Linked DNA regions of Alligator mississippiensis. The protein of the gene in region 1 binds, or shares a complex with, the protein of each later gene. Links are inferred from orthologs where the notes say so. Each region holds a gene or a part of one and is shown in the gene's direction. Other genes may lie near its edges.

Evidence for each region.
Region 2: TRRAP (region 1) and MBTD1 share a complex: the UniProt entries of both Homo sapiens proteins name them as parts of the nuA4 histone acetyltransferase complex. The link is inferred for Alligator mississippiensis from reciprocal best matches to the Homo sapiens genes TRRAP and MBTD1.
Region 3: TRRAP (region 1) and VPS72 share a complex: the UniProt entries of both Homo sapiens proteins name them as parts of the nuA4 histone acetyltransferase complex. The link is inferred for Alligator mississippiensis from reciprocal best matches to the Homo sapiens genes TRRAP and VPS72.

The regions. Positions count from the first base shown.
Region 1 is NC_081836.1:47,844,221-47,852,247, forward strand, and holds the start of TRRAP (transformation/transcription domain-associated protein), read left to right. Parts: upstream 1-5,023; 5' UTR 5,024-5,126; exon of another isoform or gene 5,127-5,131; intron 5,132-5,450; 5' UTR 5,451-5,506; coding exon 5,507-5,606; intron 5,607-6,520; coding exon 6,521-6,570; intron 6,571-8,027. Other genes in the region: TMEM130 (transmembrane protein 130), read right to left, coding at 2,445-2,657. UniProt on the Homo sapiens protein: Adapter protein, which is found in various multiprotein chromatin complexes with histone acetyltransferase activity (HAT), which gives a specific tag for epigenetic transcription activation.
Region 2 is NC_081831.1:10,354,146-10,361,291, forward strand, and holds the start of MBTD1 (MBT domain-containing protein 1), read left to right. Parts: upstream 1-4,110; 5' UTR 4,111-4,254; coding exon 4,255-4,275; intron 4,276-7,146. Other genes in the region: UTP18 (U3 small nucleolar RNA-associated protein 18 homolog), read right to left, coding at 875-970, 1,126-1,253, 3,485-3,715. UniProt on the Homo sapiens protein: Chromatin reader component of the NuA4 histone acetyltransferase complex, a multiprotein complex involved in transcriptional activation of select genes principally by acetylation of nucleosomal histones H4 and H2A.
Region 3 is NC_081838.1:20,096,366-20,103,560, forward strand, and holds the start of VPS72 (vacuolar protein sorting-associated protein 72 homolog), read left to right. Parts: upstream 1-4,159; 5' UTR 4,160-4,235; coding exon 4,236-4,349; intron 4,350-4,696; coding exon 4,697-4,849; intron 4,850-5,246; coding exon 5,247-5,358; intron 5,359-5,488; coding exon 5,489-5,668; intron 5,669-6,317; coding exon 6,318-6,462; intron 6,463-6,959; coding exon 6,960-7,195. UniProt on the Homo sapiens protein: Deposition-and-exchange histone chaperone specific for H2AZ1, specifically chaperones H2AZ1 and deposits it into nucleosomes.

The DNA.
Region 1 (8,027 bases):
GCCAGTGCTTCTTGCACCATTGTCAATTTTGGTACATTGTGACAGGATGTTTTGGGCTTAGGCTTGAGAAGGCATTACTGGGGCTTGTATTAATACTTTAAGCTAACAAAAAGTAGCATCTCATTGTGGCTTTTTTAAACAAGACTGAAATTCAATAGTATACACTACTGTCATTGCACCACACTCAGGGAATCCCTTTCCATTACCACATTACCCCTGCTACTGTGGGGCTTTTATAGCTACACTTCTATTCCCTCGCATCTGACACGGCTTCTTTTCTCATTTTGTTTAAAAAGGCTGCAAGCTCAAAGTGGGGAGAGGAACTGGAGATATAGCAGAAATTGTGCCAACTACAGCCTTTCTTTAACAAATGTCTTTGAGCAGAGATGAGTTCAATCAAAACTTGTCATAGGTTTTCATCCCAATCAAAGCATGTTTTTCCTTTGTCTTTATTAGTCATGAGGCCAGAGTATAGGCCTTTTTGGCTCTCTTGTTCTCTTCTAGTTTGGGAAAGAACCAAGGGCCTAATTTAAATTAGAATTGCTAAGCTGCATGCATTATCTGCTTTAGGGAAGGATAACCTTCCCCTAAATAAACCATATTAACAAACCTTAGTTCCAGGCTTGATGTAGAGAACAATGAGAGGGTGCAACACTTGTAAGATTGAGGCTTTTTCTATTTGCATTACTACTCTCAATTGCTTACTCCTGTGTGTCCTGTCAGATTTACACAAGCTAGTTCCTCAAACCCTTAAACTTGTTAGTCACTGCAGTGAGAAGGAAGAGACTTGTGCTTTATTAAAATAATAATAAAGCAAATTGTGTAATATGTAAGTAGCATTATTTTACAGCTAATGGAGCTGATGTGGAATGAGGTTAAATGGCTTCTACACGGTAACATGGCTCAACAGCAGGGCAGAGTTGTAAACAGGGTCTAGGTCTGATATACAGCCGATTCCATTTGCAGGTTGGTCTAGGTAGCATCCTCTCATATGTACTGGTACAGTAAGGATAGAGGGTGCCCCTTGTAGAAATCATTGCTGCTGTGAGGGTGGATGGGGGCATACACTTCTAAAGTGGTTTCCTCCTTTTCTCTGCCGTTGAGAGGATTATAAGGAGGTCATATTTCCTTCCCCTCCTCACATGAAGCCAGTTATGAGCTTATCAGGTAGGAAGGGACATGGGGTTTCCGGTCTCAACCTTTTTTCACCTGCCAGGCTCAGTAGGAAGAGAATCCACCCCTGCTAATAACTCCTCTAACTTCATTTCCCAAAGCCCAAGTGCCAAGTAAAGCTGGCAGGGTTGGATGGAGCCCTGCTCTACCAAACTGCAACAGAAATACCAAGAACAACAAAATACTTCTCATGCTCTCTATTTTATTTGAGAATGCATGGAGCAACTCTTGGTTTGCAGATACTGAGATAATGCACCGATGAGGCGGATCTTAAAAAACAAAAAAAAAAAAAAAAAAAACTTAGCTAGTGTTAATCCTCAGACAGTTCCCTGTTCATGTGACTTGAAGAAAAAAGAAAAAAAAAAAAAAAGAAGTGAAAACCAGGGAAAGAGCCTTATGCTTATCTAGTACTTTTTGGTGGAGGTTTTCAAAGTGCTTCAACAAAGCTGGGGACAGTGAATGAAGTCTGATAAATGACTTGGAAGGAGATTAAGTGACTAGCACAAAGTCACCCTGTGAGTCAGCAGCAGAGGGTGGTATTGAATGCAACTCTCCTGACTCCTCTTTGCCTTCTACCCCTTGCAGGATGAAGTGCACCAGCATTAAAAAGGAGCAGAAAGATGCAGACTCTTTGAGTGCCTTGTAACCCCTGGGTGTAGGAGCTGGCAGGGAGAAGAGGTACTTCCCAGTTGGGAAGCAACATTGACAGCGAGCCTTACCTTGAGCAAGCAAGCGCCACCCCCGTGAATGTAGGGCAAGGAAAGCTGCCTTATGTTCATGAGAGAACTAGCTCATTGCCAGCTCCCCCCAGGAAGGTGCCGTCTTAGGCAGGCAGATCCCTTCCCATCTGCTCCCTCCTGCACAAGCAGGCTGAAAACACAAGTCATCCAGCTGAGGAAAACAGAGAGGCATCCTTATAATTAACTACTGTCTACTCCAGGCAGCTGAGCTACATCCCAGTCCAATTTTAGACTGGCACTGTAGAAATTAGCAATGAAGAAAAAAAAAAAAAAAAGAGAAACCCACTCTTAGCTCATCTAATCCGTTCCCCTGCAACTACAAGGACTGTCTCAATATATAGGTTATGACAGTGCAAACCCAGCTTGATCATTTTATTCCCCAGCAAGCCAGAGAAATGCTTGGTCATTTTTTGGTTTACCTGGGAATAAAGCCTGGTGCATTTTTAGCAGGGGTGAACTGCTTTTTCAGGGCTGCCTTCTAGTAACCCCCTACATGGAGAGGGGAGCGGATCTACCTTACCTGCTGCTGACCTGAAATGGGAAAGCACCAGCACCACGCAAACCACCTGGAAGATGCTCGGGGGGAGAAAAGCCTGGGCCATCTGTAGCCAGCACCCGGGGGAGCTGCCGCTGCCTGCTCAGCTCTGGGAGCCAGACTTCATCTTCCACCTGGGCTCGCTCCGCTTTTACAGCCAGGAGCTGGGCGGCAGCAGCTCCCCCGCAGGCTCTTTGTGGGCATTGCATCGCCCTTTTTTTTTATATCCCCATCTACAACAAAATAGATCAGCAGTTCCCAATCTGTGGTATGGGCACCGCCAGCGGTACACGTCTGCAGATTGATTATAAGTACTTTATCTGACACACTTTTGCTGGTGGTACCGAAGGTTGAACTGAAAAATTTGCTGGTGGTACTTATGTATCGGTTTAAATTGGCGGTGTGCACTCTGTTTGGGAACCACTGAAATAGGTGATTATATTCTCCTAAAAGTGTGTATGTGGGGAAATACCTCTTAGCAAAATAGATGGTTTTGATTTTAAGAACACAACGAATGACATAATCCCAAGAAGCAGAATTGAAGACCTTGCTCGTACAAGCACTGGATGCTTTAATGGGTAAATAAATGGGTTCTGTGTGGGACTGTTTACAGGCATGCTTGGACATATGTCTTTGTAGGGCAGGGAGTTTTTGATCTTGGGCTTTGATACGAACTGCATCCCACCCGGTTTTCAGAAGAAGGGAAGCTGGGGACATTGCCTTACTGGCGAATTAAAACATTTTATTGTGAAGTGGCACAGAAACAGGTGGCTTGATCACAAAATGGCCAGTTTAGTGCCTGGCTGATTGTGTAGCTTATTAGCTTCAACTGTGCTGGAGTCACTTTGTCATATCTATATTTCTGAAGCCAACTACTCCCAGCAGCTACCCTTCATCTGGGCTCTTGCATGGTGCTCATCCATCTAGTGTCTGGCTCTCAGTACTCAGCAGCGGCTGGATTTGACTGCTTAAACCAGCAGTGCTCAGTCTTTTAGCCCCAGGGGCTGGATGAGTGGCACAGGGCTGGTCAGTGGCTGTGGGGGCAGGGTTGGACACAGTTATAAGTGAAGTGGGTGTCCAGACAGAAAGGGGGCTTGAATATGGTAATTTTTGGATGATTAGGATCATTATCTCTGGGGAAGGGGGCTGGATACTAAAAGCTTGCTTGGGGCTGCTTGTGGGGTCAGGGCCTGGATCAAGCCCTGCATGTGGGGTCTAGTGTGGAGGGCCATATATGCAGCCCCGAGGGGTGGGGGAATGTGGCAGCAGCAACCCAGGTGGCTGGGGGCTCCCCCACTGCCTGACGGCACTGAGCCCTCTGGGCTTCTCCCAAGAGCCATGAGAAGGCAATCAGGACTCACAGTAGAGATGAGATCTTTTATGAGACCAACAAGCTTTTTGCAAACAAAAAAAAAAGAAAAAAGTCTTTAATTGCAAGCTTTCCAGCACAAACACCCTTCATCAGGCATCGGAGAAAAGATGGTAAATGCTCTCCTGGGTAGAAATGAAAGCTCCTGTTTCATAGGATTTTACAGAGGAGTCAATACAGGCAGCCTTTGACTTACAGCGTTTCGAGTTACAACGTTTTGCACTTACAACATGTATAAATTGCCACCGTTTCAACTTTACAACGCTTGACGCCAGGCCAGCAAGCAAGTTCTCTGCGTCGTCATCTCCCTGGAGATCATCTCTCCAAACTTCCTTGGACACTTTCTTTAAGAAAGACGAGGCCCCAGAAACACCTGCAGCCAGGACTCCTGAAAAGACTCCCGCCAAGCATCCAGCAGTCACCTCAAAGAAGTCCTATCAAATCAGTATGATTGCCACTTACAATATAAATACATTAAAGTAGCTATATGCCTCATCTGTAATTGATTGAGTACAACATTCTGGGGTATCTTTGGTGAAAATAGGGTATCAGGCCTTTGTTCAGGAACCAATGCCCCATTTATAACATTGTTTCCTATGGGAAAATCAGTTCCGAGTTACAACGTTTCAATTTAAGATGCGGTTTTCAGGGACGGATTGTGCGGTAAATCCGATGGAAAACCCCGCTGGGCCACCAGTTCATAGCGGGGGGGGGGGGGGGGAGGGAGGCTCTGAGCTCCCGCCAGGGTGCAGACGACCTGGAACTACTGACTCCTCTGTGAAGCGCTGTGAACCAGGGTCCGCGTCTGCCCAGGACGGACGGCTCGTACAGCACGGCCGTGTCACTCCACGAGGGCTTTGGCCCTCTCTTCTGCAGCGCCCGAGGAGGGAGGGGGCTCGTGCCCCACAAAGCTTGCAATTAAAGACTTGTTTTCTTGGTTGCAAAAATCCCCTCGGCCTCATGCAAGATCTCCCGTCTCCCACCAGTGCTGGTGGCCGGGCGCTCCGCATCACCGCGGCTACCACCGCGCTGCGATCCGCAGCACGGCCGCCAAGCCCGGGGCGGGGCGGGGCCTGTGCGGGGGCGGGGCCTGCGCGGCGAGGCGGAGGCGGGGCCGGGGGCGGGGCTCGCGGGCTGCGGCGCGGCCCGGGGATGCTCGGGGCGGCGGCGGCGCCGGAACTGCACGGGGGGCCGCTTCCGCCGCGGGGAGGGGGCGGGGAGGCGCTCATGCGCCGCAGCCCGGCCGGGGAGCAACAAAGGAGCGGGCCGGGGCCGCGGAGGCCGGGCCGGGAGCGGCCCGCGGGGTGAGGTGAGGTGAGGTGAGGGCAGGGCCCGGGCCGCGAGGGGGTTGGAGACGGTTGGGATCGGAGCCGTGCGCCGCCAGGCCCGGCCCGTGCTGCGCTGCGCTGCGCTGTAGGGAGCTGGGGAAAGCGCAGGCCTCGCCCGGGTGTGGGCGGGTCAGCCGGGCCGAGTGACCCGCATTAAATGAACGGGGCCTTTCCCAGAAGGGTGCCGGGGCGGGGATGCGGGTCCCGGCGGCAGGGGCCGGGCCGGGCCGCAGCGGGGGTGGAAGCCCTGTCCGGTCTCCGCAGATGGTTGATTTAAAAAAAAAATTTTTTTTTTGTTTTTTGAGCTGGTTTTCGTTGGCGCGAGTCCTCGCCGCACCCCCCGCCGGCCCCGAGAGACACCATGGCGTTCGTGTCGACGCAAGGGCCCACGGTGGTCGACCAAACCACCCTGATGAAAAAATACCTGCAGTTTGTGGCCGCTCTCACGGACGTTAACACGCGTAAGCTCGTCTGCCGTTTGTTCGGGGAACGGGACCGTTCGCCGGCTCGCGTCGTGGCTTCTTAAACTGGCGGGGGAACACCACGTACCTGTGTCCTGCCCTGCCTCGCAGGAGAGCCGCTCGTCTGGCGTGGTTCGGCGCCCGCCAAGGTGCAGCAGCTTTAAGCCCAGGTCCTGGAGTCTTCTCCCTGGCTTGCTCTGAGGACCTGATGGCTGAGGGCAAGCAAAACTCGGGGGCATCCGAACCCCGAGCCTCCGGGCTTGGTCCTGCACGTAGGATGCCCGCCAAAGGTTTTGGAAACATCTGAAGCCCCAGGTGCGGGTGGAGGATGTTTGCTGGTAGTAGGGGTGCACTTGGTAGCCGTGTTGGTCTGACACAAGAAGATATAAAAAAACTCCCAAAAGCTTGCAGAAAAGGACAGTTTTCTTGCGATTTTTCCAGTTGGTCTAATAAACGATGTAATTTTGGAACCAAGAGTTCTAGTTTTTTGTATGCCGGTACTAGGGCCGCTTACGGTTCTGGACTCCTGGATTTGGAATTAGTTTGGGCTAATTTGGCCTTGGATGCAAATTGTATATAAGTGTCCCATGGGAAGGTGATCGTATTGATCGAGTTGGTAAAATCGCTTGGAGTTCATTTGCGGCGTCTTTGAGCCTGGCTTTTTTTAAGAAGCAAAATGATGAACATAAGTCGCTTGAGCCCTGGAGAGAAGTGTGCGTGCATGTATGTGTGTGTGTGTGTGTGTGAAGTGGTGGGACTGAGTGTGGCGATTGTGAGAAATGCGTACCTTTCAATTGGGCAATGAGAGCCGAACTGATAAGATCTGATTGCTTCTTCCCATTGTGAATTTGGTGTTTGTTTGAGAGTATTTTTTTTCCAAATATTTGATTGATTTCACTTGAAATTTTTTTCAGCTGATGAAACCAAACTGAAAATGATGCAAGAAGTCAGTGAGAATTTTGAGGTAATTAAACAAAATCACTGTTTGAGCGATTTTTTTATTTATTTATTTACTTTATTTTAAATGCACTGTTTCTTGTGGTTGTGTGCATCATGTTGCTTTCTGGTGTTCTTTCATTTAGGAAATTAGTTTGTATTTGCACATAGTAGCCATTCATAGTGGGTTCCATGTGTAAGAGAACCTCATTTTATTTCTTACAGTGCACTACCAACAACTTACTAAAATAATTATTCAGCTTATTGTTTCCCTCTTCTTTTGTATGTAAAGAATCATTTTATTCTAACATTTCTTAAGTTTATTTTTATGAAGAAGTGACACATAGTGAATATTTATTTCTCTGCACTTTAAACAAAAGTCTACAATGTTTTCTTTAACTGAATTCATGGTCAGTTGGTAGTGGACTGTATAGCTTGCTTTGCATTTGCTTTGGGAAGTGTCATGGTTAGGAAAGGTGAGTTTGTCTAGTATGGCTTTCTTTTTTGGAGGCTCTAATGAAATAGAGGTGGTGGCACAAACTACTTTCAGTTCTTAGTGCTTTAAAGAAGGAGGAGATAATATGTCCGCGTGGGATGCAGAAGAAGAAACAAAGGCATATTAATAGAAGTTATAGTTGCATTATATTGTGCGGACACTATACATAATGCAGTATTTGAAACTGTGCAGTACTGGTTGCCTATTTACGACATAGCATTATTTACAAAGGGAATTGCACTGAATCAGGGTGGCGCTGGTGCAGTGGACAGCACGTTGGGCTTCTACAGTAAAAAGGTCATTCATAGGCTGTGGGTTCAAGTCCTACCAGAGTTGGAATGTTTGCTCCTTTTACAGTGGACAATAAGCTGAATATGAGCCACCAGTGTGCCCTTGTTGCCAAGAAGGCTAATGGCATCCTGGGCTGCATTGGTAGGTGTGTTGCCAGCAGGTCAAGGGAAGTGATTATTCCTCTCTATTCAGCACTGCTGAGGCCACATCTGGAGTGTATTGTGTCCAGTTTTGGGGCCTCCCCACTACAGAAAGGAAGTGGACAAATTGGAGAGAGTCCAGTGGAGGGCATCAAAAATAGTTAGGGGGCTGGGGCACTTGATTTGTGAGGAGAGGTTGAGGGACCTGGGTTTATTTAGTCTGGAGAAGAGAAGACTCAGAGGGGATTTAATAGCAGCTTTTAACTATCTGAAGAGTGGTTCCAAAGAGGTTGGAGCGGGACTGTTCTCAGTGGTGGCAGATGACACACCAAGGAGCAATGGCCTGAAGTTGCAACAAGGGAAGTTTAGGTTCTATATTGGGAAGAACTTTCTCGCTGGGAGGGTAGTAAAACATTGGAACAGGTTACCCAGAGAGGTGGTGGACTCTCCATTCCTGGAGGCTTTTTAAGACCCGGCTAGATCATCCCAGCGAGGGCTTTGCCTAGTTGGGGCTGGTCCTACTTTGATCAAGGGGTTGGACTAAATGACCTCCTGAGG
Region 2 (7,146 bases), on another chromosome or scaffold:
CTTGTGCCTGACAGAGTTCCACACTCCTACCTGACACCCATAAACCGTCCTTTCCTTCTTTTAAAGGGCTTTTCTAGTCTGCTCCCACCAAATACACTTTCTACAGCCTGAGATCAAACTGCTGTAACTATAAAATACTCTTGGGCACGCTGGTTTTATTAACCATGGAAAGACAGACTCCAAGTGTCCAAGTACAGAAGTAACTTCAAAACTGAACAAGTGACATTTTCCTACATGGTTATGTTCACATGTATTCCAGAAAGCCCTTAAATACAAAGGTATTTACATTTCTAGTGGCAGCAACTTTTTCTTATATTCACAAAACTGTACGTTTGGGCTCACAACTTCTGTCTTCACCAAAATGTTGTCTCTCTCCTTTAAACTAAACACTCCTCCCTAATAGTACTGATTAACACACTTCACTGTCTCCTTTTAGGACCCAGCACTGACTGCAACTGTCAGATCTCTACTCGGCTACTGTTTTCCTCCCTCAGGCAACTTCTTATTTATATTCCCTTCTTACTCGCCACTGTATTGCTGTGCACGAAAACTACTGCTATGTTCCAATGCATTGGTGAAACAATACCTACGCAAATTTGAAACTGGGCCCTTGGAATGAAAAGAAAATACACAAATCCTCTCTTTCAAGGAGTAATGCCAGGATTAATGCTAAGGAAATCAAGGTTGCTTACTCCAAAAGCACAAGTAAAATTTCACTGCAACATGCTGAGTATTTAGGTGTTGTCGGGGGGGGGGGGGGGGGGGGGGGGGGAAGGAGGCATTTTTAATACTGCTATTAGATCAATTCTTGTTATTGAAATTAGCAGCAAGATTTATGATTAGCAAAATCTGTTTGTATAGGAAAAAACCTTACTGTTCCTGAAGTCTTATTTGAAGTTTTTCTTTGGTAAGACTCTTCTCGGCATCACTCTTCATCATGTCTTTCCGATACCGATGGGTCATATCAATCCTAGACAACAGAGCCATATTTAGGATGTGAATAAAAAATTGCAAGTTTAATGACTTTGTTCTCAGTATACCTCCAAGAAATAGGCAGTTAAAAAGGAACCTAATCAAAGTCCCACCTCTCCTGCCCCCTTTTTGGTCGCTACGTACTGAACTTACTTTTCTTTAATTTCATCGTCATCGTCCACCCAGGCTGGTTTCTTAGATAGAGGAAAATTGTCTTGTGCTTCATCTTCTGAATCACTGGAGTCCCCTTTCAGAAGATTTCCACTGATTACCCCATCAAGCTTAAAAACAAACAAACACACATAAGTCTAAGGGTACAGGCACCTGTATACCTGGAGTCATTTTAAGAGGTGAACACTTCGAAAGGCAAGAGCTGTTACCTCCTAATTGTTATTCAGGAACAAGTCAGCAACAATAGAAATGTAGCAAGACCACTCCCACTTCAGTGCTGCTTTATTAAGCAGCAGCAGGGGTTGAAACAGTGTTAAAGTTGGAGCAGTTGTGTTACAATTGTACCAGTTTGTCCTTCACAGATAACAATTATAAAGTAATAATTGCTGTCCTTTTGAAGCACTCCCTTTTGAAATAGCTCCAAGTGTACCTGTAGACATATCCTAAAATAACAAATTTAACAACTGTAAACTGAGAAGACACTTTTCAGGAAAGCAAGTGTAAACAATCACCATCTCCTGTAAAGACAAACACATAGAAAAAACAAATGTTAGTCCTATGGCAATTCATCGCTAAACCATTTCCTCAGAAGGGGAAGTTTAGAAGACAGACTCATGAGAGGTAAAGCAGGCTAGTAAAAAAGGCTGCCTACAAAGCAGTTGTAGCAGGTGTCAAACTCATCCATCACTGTAGACTGAACGAGTGGTGCAGAGCCAGTCCACAGACCGAATCAGGCCTGCAAATCCCCTCCCTTCCCCTGGCATTCTGGGTTCAAAACCCACTCCAGCCACTGTGGGATCCACGCTGTGTGCACACAGATCGCAGAGCAGCCAGAACAGGCACTGTGTGCAGCACACTATAACAGGGGGTGCACAGCACAGACTTCAGACCGGCCAGTACCCTCCCTGGCCAGGCTGCACCACATGTGGCACCCCCACTGAGAACTGTGCTACACATGGTGCCACTCCTGGTCTGGGACCCACACTGCACACGGTGCTTGCAGGCACTGCATGTAGTGCAGGTGCCAAACTGGCTAGAGTGGGTGCTGTGTGCAGAGTTGTCGGGCCACGGCAGGCACCGCATGTAGTATAGTACCTGCTCTGGCTAGTCTGGGATCTACATGCCCCCAGCTGACAGCCACGAGGTGCCCATTCCAGTTACTCTGGGATCTGCACCACATGCGTCCGTCTCTGTGGCACAATTCTGGAGCAGCATCTGGAGCTGCAGGTTGGGCCCCCACACCTCTTCCCTCCCCTTCCACCACAACACACTTACCAGCTGCACACAGCTCTCCATGCTGTATTGGTATCAGCGGATACGCTTCCTTAAAAACTGGCTATCAGTATTGGCCCCAAAAACCTCTCTATTGGTGCAGCCCTAGGTTGGGGAGGCTGAGGGGGGGGGGCCGTGCAGTGCATGATCTACTCTTACGTAGAGATGAGATCAGCGTTTCTCAGCCCGTGGGTCATGACCCAAAAGTGGGTTGCAAGAACATATGAAAGGGTCTCAAACAAACTTTAAAAATGGATTCTCCTTTAACAGAGATAAACATGGGAAACCGTGGCTTTCCCCTTGCTGGATGGCAGAGTCCCAGCCTGCGAGGAGATGCTCAGGGCCCCTGCTGCCCCATACCCATGCAAAAAGGGGGGGGGGGGGTAGGGCCTGGGGGCAGCCTTTTGGGAGTGAAGGACACCGGGTCGGGACTAGCCATTGATGTTTACAAACGAGTCCTAGTACAAAAAAAAGTTGAGAACCACTGCTCAAAACCAGCTGTTCCCAATCTGCGGTACATGCACCACCGGCGGTACGCAGACAACCCATCAGCAGTACACATTAACAATTAATAACTACTTAAACACGACAAAAATGCATCAGATTGAAGTGAGTAAGTCACTGGTGGTAAAGGTGGTCTCATTTTAAATCAGCGGTGCGCAACCCGTCTGCTCTAGACGACGGGCGGATGGGACGGTTGGGTCGGGACGATCCTGCCTCACGCAGGGGCGGGACTCGGTGACCGCTGGAGGTCTCTTCCAGCTCCGCCTAGGACGGGGGCCACAATTAAGAAGCGAAGGCGGCCGGCAGCAAGTGTGTTTGAACAGCCAGGGCAGGAGGATGAACATCGCCAACGAAAGGGTGGAGAAAGAAAGGGGGGGACGAGGACGAGGGCAGCAGGATGGAGGCCGGACGCCACGTGGGACGCCTGGCAGACCCCTCCCGCGCCCGCTGCAAGGCCCAGGGCTGGGAGCCCCTCCCGTCTGCCGGCTCCCCCCGCATTTCCACCCGCTCCTCGAGGCGCCACGCGGGCGCGGGGGCACGCAGCGAGGCTCCTGCCCGGCCTCACCTGCTGGCTCGGGCCCCGCAGGCGCTGCAGCAGCTCCGCCTCGCCCGCCTCCTGGACGCCGCCGAACACCAGCGCCTCCAGGCAGCGCTCCACCGCCGCGCTCTCGCCCAGCGCGCCCGGCAGCCGCGCCCCCTCGCCGGCCTCCGCACCGCCCGCGAGCCGCTGCCTGTGCCGCCGGCGCCGCTTCGCGCCGGGCAGGATACCGGCGCCAGCTACCACCTGCTCCTCCATAGCCGCTCAGCGGAAGCGGAAGTGACACTACCCCTTCACGTGACAATCCCACCCCAATCACGTGACGCCTCGCTTCCTGCCCCATGTGACAGCTGGACCGGTCCATTCGCCCCCTTTGCGCGGGGGGGCTGTAGGCTGCGCTTGCCGCCTCCTCCTCCTCCTCCAGGAACTTTGTAGAGACGGAGCCGCCCCGCCGTGCCCCTCAGGAGCTCGGCAACAACCAGCAGGTGAAGCCGTGTGCCGCCGGGCAGCGCAGCCCGCGCGTTTCCCCCACCGCGGAATGGTGCGCGCCGGGCGAGTACGGCGAGCCGGGAGGGCCGCAAAGCCCCGGGGGGCGGGGCCGGGGCTCTCGCCGCGCCTGCGCACTGCGGGGATGCTAATGTTGTTGATAGTCTGGCCCGGGGAGTTGGGGTTTCTTTCTCTGTGGCCCGAGCGCGCGGCGGGACGTCGGGCCCGGCGGGGGGGCGCGCAGGCGGCGCGGGCCGAGCCGGGGGCAGGGCCGGGCGCGGCGGCGGCCGCCCGCTGCCCATGAGGGCCTGATGGAAAACACAAAGGACCTGGTGAGCGGCGCGGGCGGGGGGCGGCCGCCGGGAGGGGGCTGGGCCCGGGAAAGTTTCGCGGAGCGTCGGGCTCGCTCCCCCCTCGCCTCGTCCCCACAGCCCGGGGCGGCCGGGCCGCTTCCCGCGGCGGGGGAGCGCGTCCCAGCCCGGCCGGGGGGCAGCCAGCGTGTGGGGAGCGTGGACAACTCCGGTGCGCTGGGAAGAGAGGCTGCAGCCCCCTCGGTCTGCAAACCAGCCGCCTCCCCGCGCCAACCGCGCTCCCCAAAACGCTTCGTTATCTCGTGTCGGCAAGAGCGACTCAGGGGTCGCGTCGATGCGCGGCCTCCCGAACGGCCGTGCGTGTCTTCTGAACGCTTTTGCTGCGGCGCGTGGTGCGAGTCCGTGGGTTCGTTCGTACGTGCACATCCACAGGGCGGATACGTACGTACGTGCAGAGGGTTGAAGCGATGGCACGGGTGGGATAATTGGGCGCCAGGAGGGGACGTCCGGCGGGAAGGTTGGTCGGTCGGTCATGCCGGGGACAGGGAAGGCCTGGGGCTGCCGGGACGTCAGCGTTGAGAGAACGTGCGAATCCACGTGTGTTTGTACAAGCGCGTGCGATGGATACGTACGTACAAACACGTACGAGGGTTGAAATAGGATAACTGTCGGACGCTTGGCGACGCCGCTGGGGCCTGAGATGTGACCCCGCAGCCGCCGTCTGTAGGGAGGGGACGTCCCGCGGGAAGGGGGTTTGTCGTGTCGGGAGCAGGAAAGCGGCTGGGGCTGACGGGACGTCGGAGCGAAGAGGAGCCGCTCGGGAGAGAACCAGAGGGACGGGAGGTCGTGAAGGGGAGTACAGCTGTCGCTCTGCAATGCCAGCCTGGGAGCTTCGTGCTCTGCTGTTATTTTAGTCTCTGGTTTTCACACCGTGGCTACGTGGGAGAAAACCCAACATCATCTAGGTCCTGGTACTGAAACGCTCCAGCCTTGTGCAGTGGGACACGACTAGGACCTGGAAAACAGGATTTGTACTTCCTCGGACGTAACTGCTGGGGAGGTGGAGAAGTTGGAGGTGTCCCCTTCCTTGCCTTCCCTGGTTTTTGACTCCCTGAAAATTGACTCCAGTCCTGCAGGGTGCCCACCCAGTGCCCTGAACATGGTAGGGTGGTGCTGCTGGAGTGGTGATGGTCACCACACTATGTTGGAGGTGAGGGTCTAGTGCAGCGGTTCTGAACCGGGGATACACGTACCCCCCCGGGGGTACGTGAAGCCTCATTCGGAGGTACGTGAGATATATTTCATACACTGTCTAACAGAGGTCGAAGGGCCTAAAAAAATTAATTTCCCATTGAAAGGGGGTACATGAAGTCTCACTCTGACACCAAAGGCTATGTCAACTGAAAAAGGTTGAGAACCACTGATCTAGTGGGTGATATCTTTTATTGCAGTGTGCAGCTGGTTCAATAAAAGACATTGCCCCCGAGCATCCTTGCCTTTGAACTTCCTGCTGGCTTTCTGCTTTTAAGCTGGTTATTTTTTTGCCTGCTGATGCTGAACTGTATTTTGAAACGAAGCTGTTGCTTTCTCCTACGTTTCCTGCTTTTCCTAGTATTCTGCTTTCTTTGCCCAAGGACTTTAGGGGACAACACAGTTTAAGTGTTAGGATAATTCCCCACTTATGTATGATTTCTTTTTATCTTGACACTTCTGTTTGCTCTGTAGGATTTGTTTTTCTTGTTGTTGTGTTTCTGGCATCAATTTGAAATCTAATTAGTTTTTAAAAAGCAATTGCAATTTTCTAGTGGTACTCCAGTCCTAACTTTTTAAAGAACACCTCTAATATGTGAGGATTGCTTCCACCCTCAGAAGGCCCCTGTCAGCTAGGTGAGACTGACAATAGACAAAGCGCTGTTAAGTGCACAAACTGAAGGGCAAAACTGTGTAATGATTTTTGCAGATGAAACTTTTAATTGTTGCAATAATTGGCAACACACTCTTGGTTAGAAATGAGTCCTCCCAAGAGGAGAAGTAAAAAGTGGGAATCGGAAGAGATGTTTTTATAAATCTCCTCATATGTTGCCTTTAAGTTGCTGCTGAGTTGCTTGCATTTCTGATAGTTGTAACGTTCTGACAAGGTTTTAGCTTCACAGAACCAGAGAGGGCAGACATACAATAAATCTGCACATTTCCAATGGTTCTAGTTGATTTTGGTTAGCTTTTGTGTGAAAGAGATGTAATAATAAAAAAATCACTTCAGTTGCTGGTGCTTACAGTTTACTCCCATCTAGAGTTAGGACTGAGCTTACCATGTATATTTATAAGTCTTTTCTAACCAAAAAAAAAAGAAGTATGGATGTCAAATTTCTTATAAAACTTAAAGAAAAATATTGTACAGTGATAAAATGTCTGATGAATTGAGTCTGTTTGCGGTTAATAGCTTGTAGGTCCTGCGGAGGTGCATTACCTCCTGTATTCATGCAGGTAGTACTAGGTGCTAGTAGTAGCCTCTGATGTGATGCAACTGTCCTAGAGGTTACACCTCTCCCCTCTAATGCAGACCTCGATGTATTGATCCGTGCCTCAGCTGCCTATAATATAGTTACATATTTTGGGGTTAAGTTTCAATATAAGCTGAGGTCTGTGTGGTGCAGCTGCAAATCTTTGTGAGATGAGCCTTTAGTAATCTTTATGAAAGCACTGTAGTGGTTCCTTTCTCGTATCTGGAAGCTGTTCAAGATTTGGCGAGTGTAGTTAATATTTTGAATAGACTTGGATCTGGATATTTGAAACCTTCCTCTATGCCTCCAAATCCATGCTGTCACAGCAGTTAACAGCTGCCAGAGTGCTCGTCCTAGAAAGCACGGGGAAGAGCTATCTAGGTTGAAGGGC
Region 3 (7,195 bases), on another chromosome or scaffold:
TCCTTTGAGCAAGGGGCTGGACTAGATGCAACCTCTGGAGGGCCCTACCAACCCTGCTTTTTTATGACCCTAAGTTAATGCAGACATTTGTTGTATCTATCAAACCTTTCAAATGACCTGATGGCAAAATGCTCTGGAGATTCCTGGGGTGTGAAAGCACCTGTTGAGTTCAAAAGCACCTAAGCAAAAGGAGCTGTGTTCACAGCAAATAGCTTAGCAACCTGGTAAGTGGTTAATCATGCATCTCCTCAGTAGTCTTGTGAGGTGCTTCTGGGTGTATTGCAAACCTCATCTGAGATCACCTAATTAGGCACAGACGTGTGCCATGAACACACGGAGACAAATCCAAGCCCCGTGGGAACTGCTGCAAAGTTCTCTCAGGAGAGACTATGCTGTTGAAAGTTGAGATTTACCTTATGTCTCTTTTCGGACGAAATTCAGTGGGTGTCATGGCCCTGAACTTCCATGAGATTGTGCCTGCTTACACCATGGCTGAACTTGGCCTGCAGATCCTTGTTTCTGAAGCCAGATACAACTGTCCCTGGGTGCTGTTCTTCACATGAGGTTGCCCCACTCAAGTCCGATCACAACAGGCTGCGGTGGATTTTTCGTGATAAAAGGAACATGGGTTTCAACACCCCTCGAAGCATGCACTATGAAACCTGAAATCGCAGGGAACCTGTCAATCAGCTTTTGCAAATTTGCTAAAAACAGATCTGAACAAACCAGAGGCTGATCTTTGGTTCTGATTCCAAGTGAAACTCAGAGTTTGGGGTGAGAATTCATAGAATCAGAAAATGAGGGTTGGAAAGGACCTCAGGAGGTCACATCTAGTCCCACCCCCTGCTCAAAGCAGGACCAGCCCCAACTACATCATCCCAGCCAAGGCTTTGTTGAGCTGGGTCTTAAAACACCTCCAAGGATAGAGATCCTACCACGTCTCTGGGTAACCTGTTCCAGTGCTTTACTACCCTCCTCATGAGAAAGTTTTTACTAATATCCAACCTACACCTCCCTTTCTGCAACTGGAGCCCATTGCTCCTTGTTGTCATCTGCCACCATTGGGAACAGCCCAGATGCATCCTCTGGTAGATGAAGGCTGCTAGTAAATCCCCACTCTGTCTTCTCTTCTGCAGACTAAATAAGTCCAGTTCCTTCAGTTTCTCCTCATAAATCATGTGCCACAACCATTTTTGTTGATCTCTGCTGGACTCTCTCTAACTTGTCCAGATCCCTTCTGTAGCAGGGGGCCAAAACTGGCCACTGGACTCCAGATGTGGCCTCACCAGTGCCAAACAGAGGGGACTAGGAAGACAAGGTTCTTTGGGTAAATCTGATATCTTTTATTAGACCAGCCAAAATTGTTGGAAAAAATCTTATTTGCAAGCTTTCGAGTACAAACACTCTTCATTTCCCTCTATCTGCTACAACGAACGCTCTTGATCATGCAGCCCAGGATCCTGTTAGCCTTCTTGGTGACAAGGGCACACTGCTGGTTCATATTCAACTTATTGCCCACTGTCACCCCCAGGTCCTTTTCTGCAGAGCTGGTGCCCAGCCAGCCACTCCCAGCCTATACTGGTGCATGGGCTTGTTCCACCCTAAGAGCAGGACTTTGAACTTGTCCTTGTTGAACCTCATGAGATTTAATTTGGTCCAATCCTCCGATTTGTTAAAGCAAACATTTGATTTGTTCTGGGACCCCAGGCTGAGTTCCCCAAGACATTTCCAGCAGGTTTGTGTGGGGCATTGAGATGTTGGGAGTTAAGGCTTCACAGCAGAATTCTTCAGGGAGATCCCGTTTCACTGCAACCATTGTTAGCAGCGATAAAACAAAAGGGAAAAGGTGCGATAGATCCATGGAGCAGAGTTTAAAGAGCTGCTGTTTCTGTGCCAGCCATTAGCCAGGAGGTATGGCAGGAAAGCTAAAGTCAACAGCATAAAAGGGAATCTAATGAGCCCTGGATCAGGAGTTGAGACCAGAGGTTATCAGGTCCCTGCTGTGATCAGACTAATCAAGCTGGCTGCCAGCTGCTGCTGGTAAGCTGAGATGCACGCACGCTATCCCTTGGCCTTGGCAGAGTCCCAGCTCTTGCCCTCACCTGTGGATGGACCCCCCCAGGCCATGAACCTTGTGGGGGCAGAGGCCCCAGTAGGGGTGGATCCAGGGGGATGCACTGATGCATGCGCACCTCTCTGATTCCTGCTCCACCCAAAGTTTAAAGCCTGCAGTGGCAGCAGTGTTTCTAGTCAGGCAGCGCTGACAGATCAGTGGACTTAATGGCTCACTTTCGTCTACCTGCTTCCTTCTGAACTCTTCACTCCGCAGCTGTTAACGACCCTCTCTCCTATGTAATGGCCTCAGTGTTCCCCCAGTCCAGCCAGGACCCGCTCTGCAACGCTCCTGGGCACGGAGCTCCTATTTTACAGCCCTGCTGACTGCCTTGAACTCATTCCAATAAAGTTAGATGGATGCAAAAACAAATCTTCAAGTGAAGACTACAGCCCCAGGCCCATGGCCTAGTAGGAAAAGGACGCAAGAGTAGGGGTTGACGTCATATACAGACTTCAGGAAGGCCTTCGATATGGTATCCCACCCCATACTGGTGAACAAGTTAAGAGGCTGTGACTTGGATGACTACACAGTCCGGTGGGTGGCGAATTGGCTAGAGGGTCGCACCCAGAGAGTTGTGGTGGATGGGTCGGTATCGACCTAGAAGGACATGGGCAGTGGGGTCCCGCAGGGCTCGGTCCTTGGACCGATACTCTTCAATGTCTTCATCAGTGACTTGGATGAGGGAGTGAAGTGTACTCTGTCCAAGTTTGCGGATGACACAAAACTGTGGGGAGAAGTAGACACGCCGGAGGGCAGGGAACAGCTGCAGGCAGACCTGGATAGGTTGCACAAGTGGGCAGAAAACAACAGGATGCAGTTCAACAAGGAGAAATGCAAAGTGCTGCACCTAGGGAGGAAAAATGTCCAGCACACCTACAGCCTAGGGAATGACCTGCTGGGTGGCACAGAGGTGGAAAGGGATCTTGGAGTCCTAGTGGACTCCAAGATGAACATGAGTCGGCAGTGTGACGAAGCCATCAGAAAAGCCAATGGCACTTTATCGTGCATCAGCAGATGCATGATGAACAGATCCAAGGAGGTGATACTTCCCCTCTATCGGGCGCTGGTCAGACCGCAGTTGGAGTACTGCATGCAATTCTGGGCGCCGCAATTCAAGAGGGATGTGGATAACCTGGAGAGGGTCCAGAGAAGGGCCACTCGTATGGTTAAGGGCCTGCAGACCAAGCCCTATGAGGAGAGACTGTGGCACCTGGACCTCTTCAGCCTCCGCAAGAAAAGGTTGAGAGGTGACCTTGTGGCTGCCTATAAGTTCATCACGGGGGCACAGAAGGGAATTGGTGACTTTTTATTCACCAAGGCACCCCCGGGGGTTACAAGAAATAATGGCCACAAGCTAGCAGAGAGCAGATTTAGACTGGACATTAGGAAGAACTTCTTCACAGTTCGAGTGGCCAAGGTCTGGAACGGGCTCCCAAGGGAGGTGGTGCTCTCCCCTACCCTGGGGGTCTTCAAGAGGAGGTTAGATAGGCATCTAGCTGGGGTCATCTAGACCCAGCACTCTTTCCTGCCTATGCAGGGGGTCGGACTCGATGATCTATTGAGGTCCCTTCCGACCCTAACATCTATGAAAACTTCCAGTTTCTTTTCACCGGGAGAAAAACGTGTGATGTGTCCTTTGGGAAAATGAACCACAGCATCCGCACCCCTTTTACCTCGGTCTCAGACCGTGGCTGAAAGGCTAAAGGGGCCCCAACACGTGGGCATCTTTCCCTGCAGGGTGGCAGGGCCCGCCCCTGGGTGCAGACATGCAGATCTCCTGGGGCAGCTGCCGGGGGAGCAGCATGCGCGACCCCCCGGGCGCCCAGCTTAGGCTTGGGGCGCCCGCAGCATCTTAGAAGCCAAGCAGGGCCCAGAAGGGTCAACACCTGGATGGGAGACCACAGTGGTGGGTTAGAGTAGGGGCGGGGCCACTGCGAGGAGGCAGCTCGGGGCAAGCGAGGCTCCACCCTCCTGCGCAGCCGCCAGCGATCACTCAGCGTTCGATTGGTTCCCGGCGCTCGCCTCCCGCACCACTCTCGGCGCTCCCAGGCCGCGCAGTGGCTGGCCGGCGGGTCGATCCCAGGCCGCGCAGTGGCGGGTCGGCGCGTCGCTCGGCGCCATGAGCCTGGCGGAGGGGAGGGCGCCGCGCCGCACCGCGGGCAACCGGCTCTCGGGGTTGCTGGAGGCCGAGGAGGACGAGTTCTACCAGACCACGTACGGCGGCTTCACCGAGGTGCGCCCGCACGCGGGAGGGACCCCGGGGAGGGCGGAGTTTGCCAGGGCGGGGCCTATGGGGTCATTTGCTAGGGTGGAGTGCTACTGGGGGCGGGGCCTACTGGTGGGGGTAATTGGGGGGCAGGGCCCACTAGGGTGGGAGGCATCTGGGGTGGGCACTATGGGGGGTTGGGGCATAGGAGAGTGGGGGAGAGGTTTTGGGGGGCACTTGGGAAGGGCTGGAAGAGGGGCGGGTCTGTGGGGGGTCCTTTGTGGCTGGGGCACGAGGCCCTTTGGGAGGGTTGGGGAAGGGGCCGATCCGGTGGGGGGGCCGGGGCTGACGGCAGTGTCCGGGCGGTGCCGCAGGAGTCGGGGGACGACGAGTACAAAGGCGACCAGTCGGACAGCGACGATGAGGTGGACTCGGACTTCGACATCGACGAGGGCGAGGAGCCGGCCAGCGACCAGGAGGACGGCGAGCCCAAGCGCAAGCGCCGCGTGGTTACCAAGGCCTACAAGGTGTGGCCGGGGCTCTGCTTCCCGTGGGGGTTTGGGGGAGGGGAGGCGCCCGCTCCACGGCGCAAGGGGCTGGATGTCTGGGACAAAGACCCAGGCATCCTGTGCGCCACGGGGCTTCCCGTCAAAGGGGGCTACAGATGCACTAGGGTCACCTGGATGTTTGAGGGAGGGGCGGCTGGGAAGGGGGTAAGGCCCGCTACAGCGGGAAGGGGATCGTTGGGGAGGCTTGGGGTCTGGACTCAGCAGCAGAGTTGGGGTCTGGCCTCCTGGGTTGCCTCCCTGGGAGGAGGAGGTGCCTGGTGGTAAGAACTGACCCATGAGGGGTAACAGGTGAGGAAGGTAGCATCCCCCCGGCAGCTCTCCCCTTCCTCACCCTGCTCTGCTGTGACTCCCCCAGGAGCCCCTCAAGAGCCTGAGACCCAAGAAGGCCGATGCCCCCAGCGGCAGCTCACAGAAGGCCCGAGAGGAGAAGGTGGCACCCCTGGAGCTGCAGGATGACGCTGGGGACAGTAAGTGCATGCATGGCACTCGCTAGCAGAGCTCCCCTGGCTCCTCTGTCTCTGGGAGCCTGGGGCTGCCTCCCTGCTCTGTGTCCCCCGTGCCCCCTGACCCCCCCCCCCACCTTGTTGTCCCCACCAGGCCGCAAGCACATGCGCCAGTCGACCACAGAGCACACCCGCCAGACATTCTTGCGCCTTCAGGAGCGTCAGGTGCAGTCCAAGCGCAAGAAGGGCGGCCCCAACTATGACCGTCCCCTGACACAGGAGGAGCTGCTGGAGGAGGCCAAGATCACAGAGGAGATCAACCTGCGCTCCCTAGGTGAGTAGGACCATGGCCATCACCCCATAGGGTACAAGGAGGGTGCTGGGATGGACCTGGGGCTATGGTCATGGAGGGATAGGGCTGGTGGGACCATGGCCATCACCCCATGGGGTACAGTGAGGGTGCTGGGATGGGCCTGGGGCTATGGTCATGGAGGGATAGGGCTGGTGGGGCTCACGGGCAGCAAAGGACCCCAGAAGACAGAGGCATTAGAAGCTGCCAGCCTGGGTTCCCTACCCAGAGGAGAGCAGGATGTGGTGGTTAGCGGTGGCTAGGACTCCTGGGTTCTTTGTCCAGCTCAGGTGCTACCTGGCTGGGTGATTCGTTTCACCGCTGACCCTCAGTTTCCCCCCAGTGTTAATTGGAAGTCTGCGGGTGATGTGAATGGGCACTGTCTCTTCTCACCGGTGCATGGTTGGGAACTAGATGATGATTGTGGCTGGCTCTGCAAAGGCTGCCTGCTAGGGGAGACCCCTGTCTCCCCCCTGGGTGGGGGGCACTGACCCGCCTGCTGTGACATGTCACCTTGAGTTGTGTCCCAGTGGTGGGCAAGTACCTGCAGGAGATGGGGCCTGGCACCCTAGGCGCTGAAGTGAGGTCCCCCCCAGGCCCGCTGTGCTGACATCCGGTTTCTTCATCCCTGCAGAGAACTACGAGCGCCTGGAAGCCGACAAGAAGAAGCAGGTGCAGAAGAAGCGCAAGTGCGTGGGGCCATTGATCCGGTACCACTCGGTGACCATGCCCCTTATCACCGACCTGGGCGTCAAGGAGGAGAACGTGGATGTGGAGGGGTAGGTGTTTAGGGCGCAGGGGGACCCTTGGGCCCAGTCCAGCCCTTCTCCATAAAATCCTTGTGCCCCTTCCCTTTGTAGATCCTGGAGCTCGGCTCCCGCATACCAACCTCTGTCCTTGGGCACTGCCCCCAGTCCTGGCCATGGCATCTCGCAGCTGCCAGCAACTCAGCTGCAATGCCCTGACATTCTGGCTTGCAGCTGCTCTGAGCTGGGATGGTCTGTGGACCAGAGCTGTGTGTGTATGGATTCACATAGGTCTGCCAGGGTGGTGTTTGGGGCCTGGTCAGATCCTTAGCTTGTACCAACCTGGATTAGACCCCAGGCTCTGAAGGGCGGGGTTGGGGATGGGGATGGACTGACCCAAGCAGAGGCCCTGGGGATCATGTAGGTGGCTGCCATGAGCGCAGGTAGCCCTGCTCCCTCTCTCCCTGGATGCCTGTGTCTCCTGGAGCTGAAGCCCAGACTCACCCCAGTGGTAATTCCCCCATGCCCAGGTTGGATCAAGATCTCCACCAGCCCTCAGAGGCAGCGCTGGCACCAGCTGTGGCCCCCATCACTGGGAAGTGCTCACGCACCTTCATCACCTTCAGCGACGATGAGACCTTCGAGCAGCTCTTCCCCAAGGGGCGCCAGCCCCGGCTGCCTGTGCGCGAGATCTGCCCTGTGACCCACAAGCCGGCCGTGTATCGCGACCCTGTCACTGACATCCCCTACTCCAACATCCGGGCCT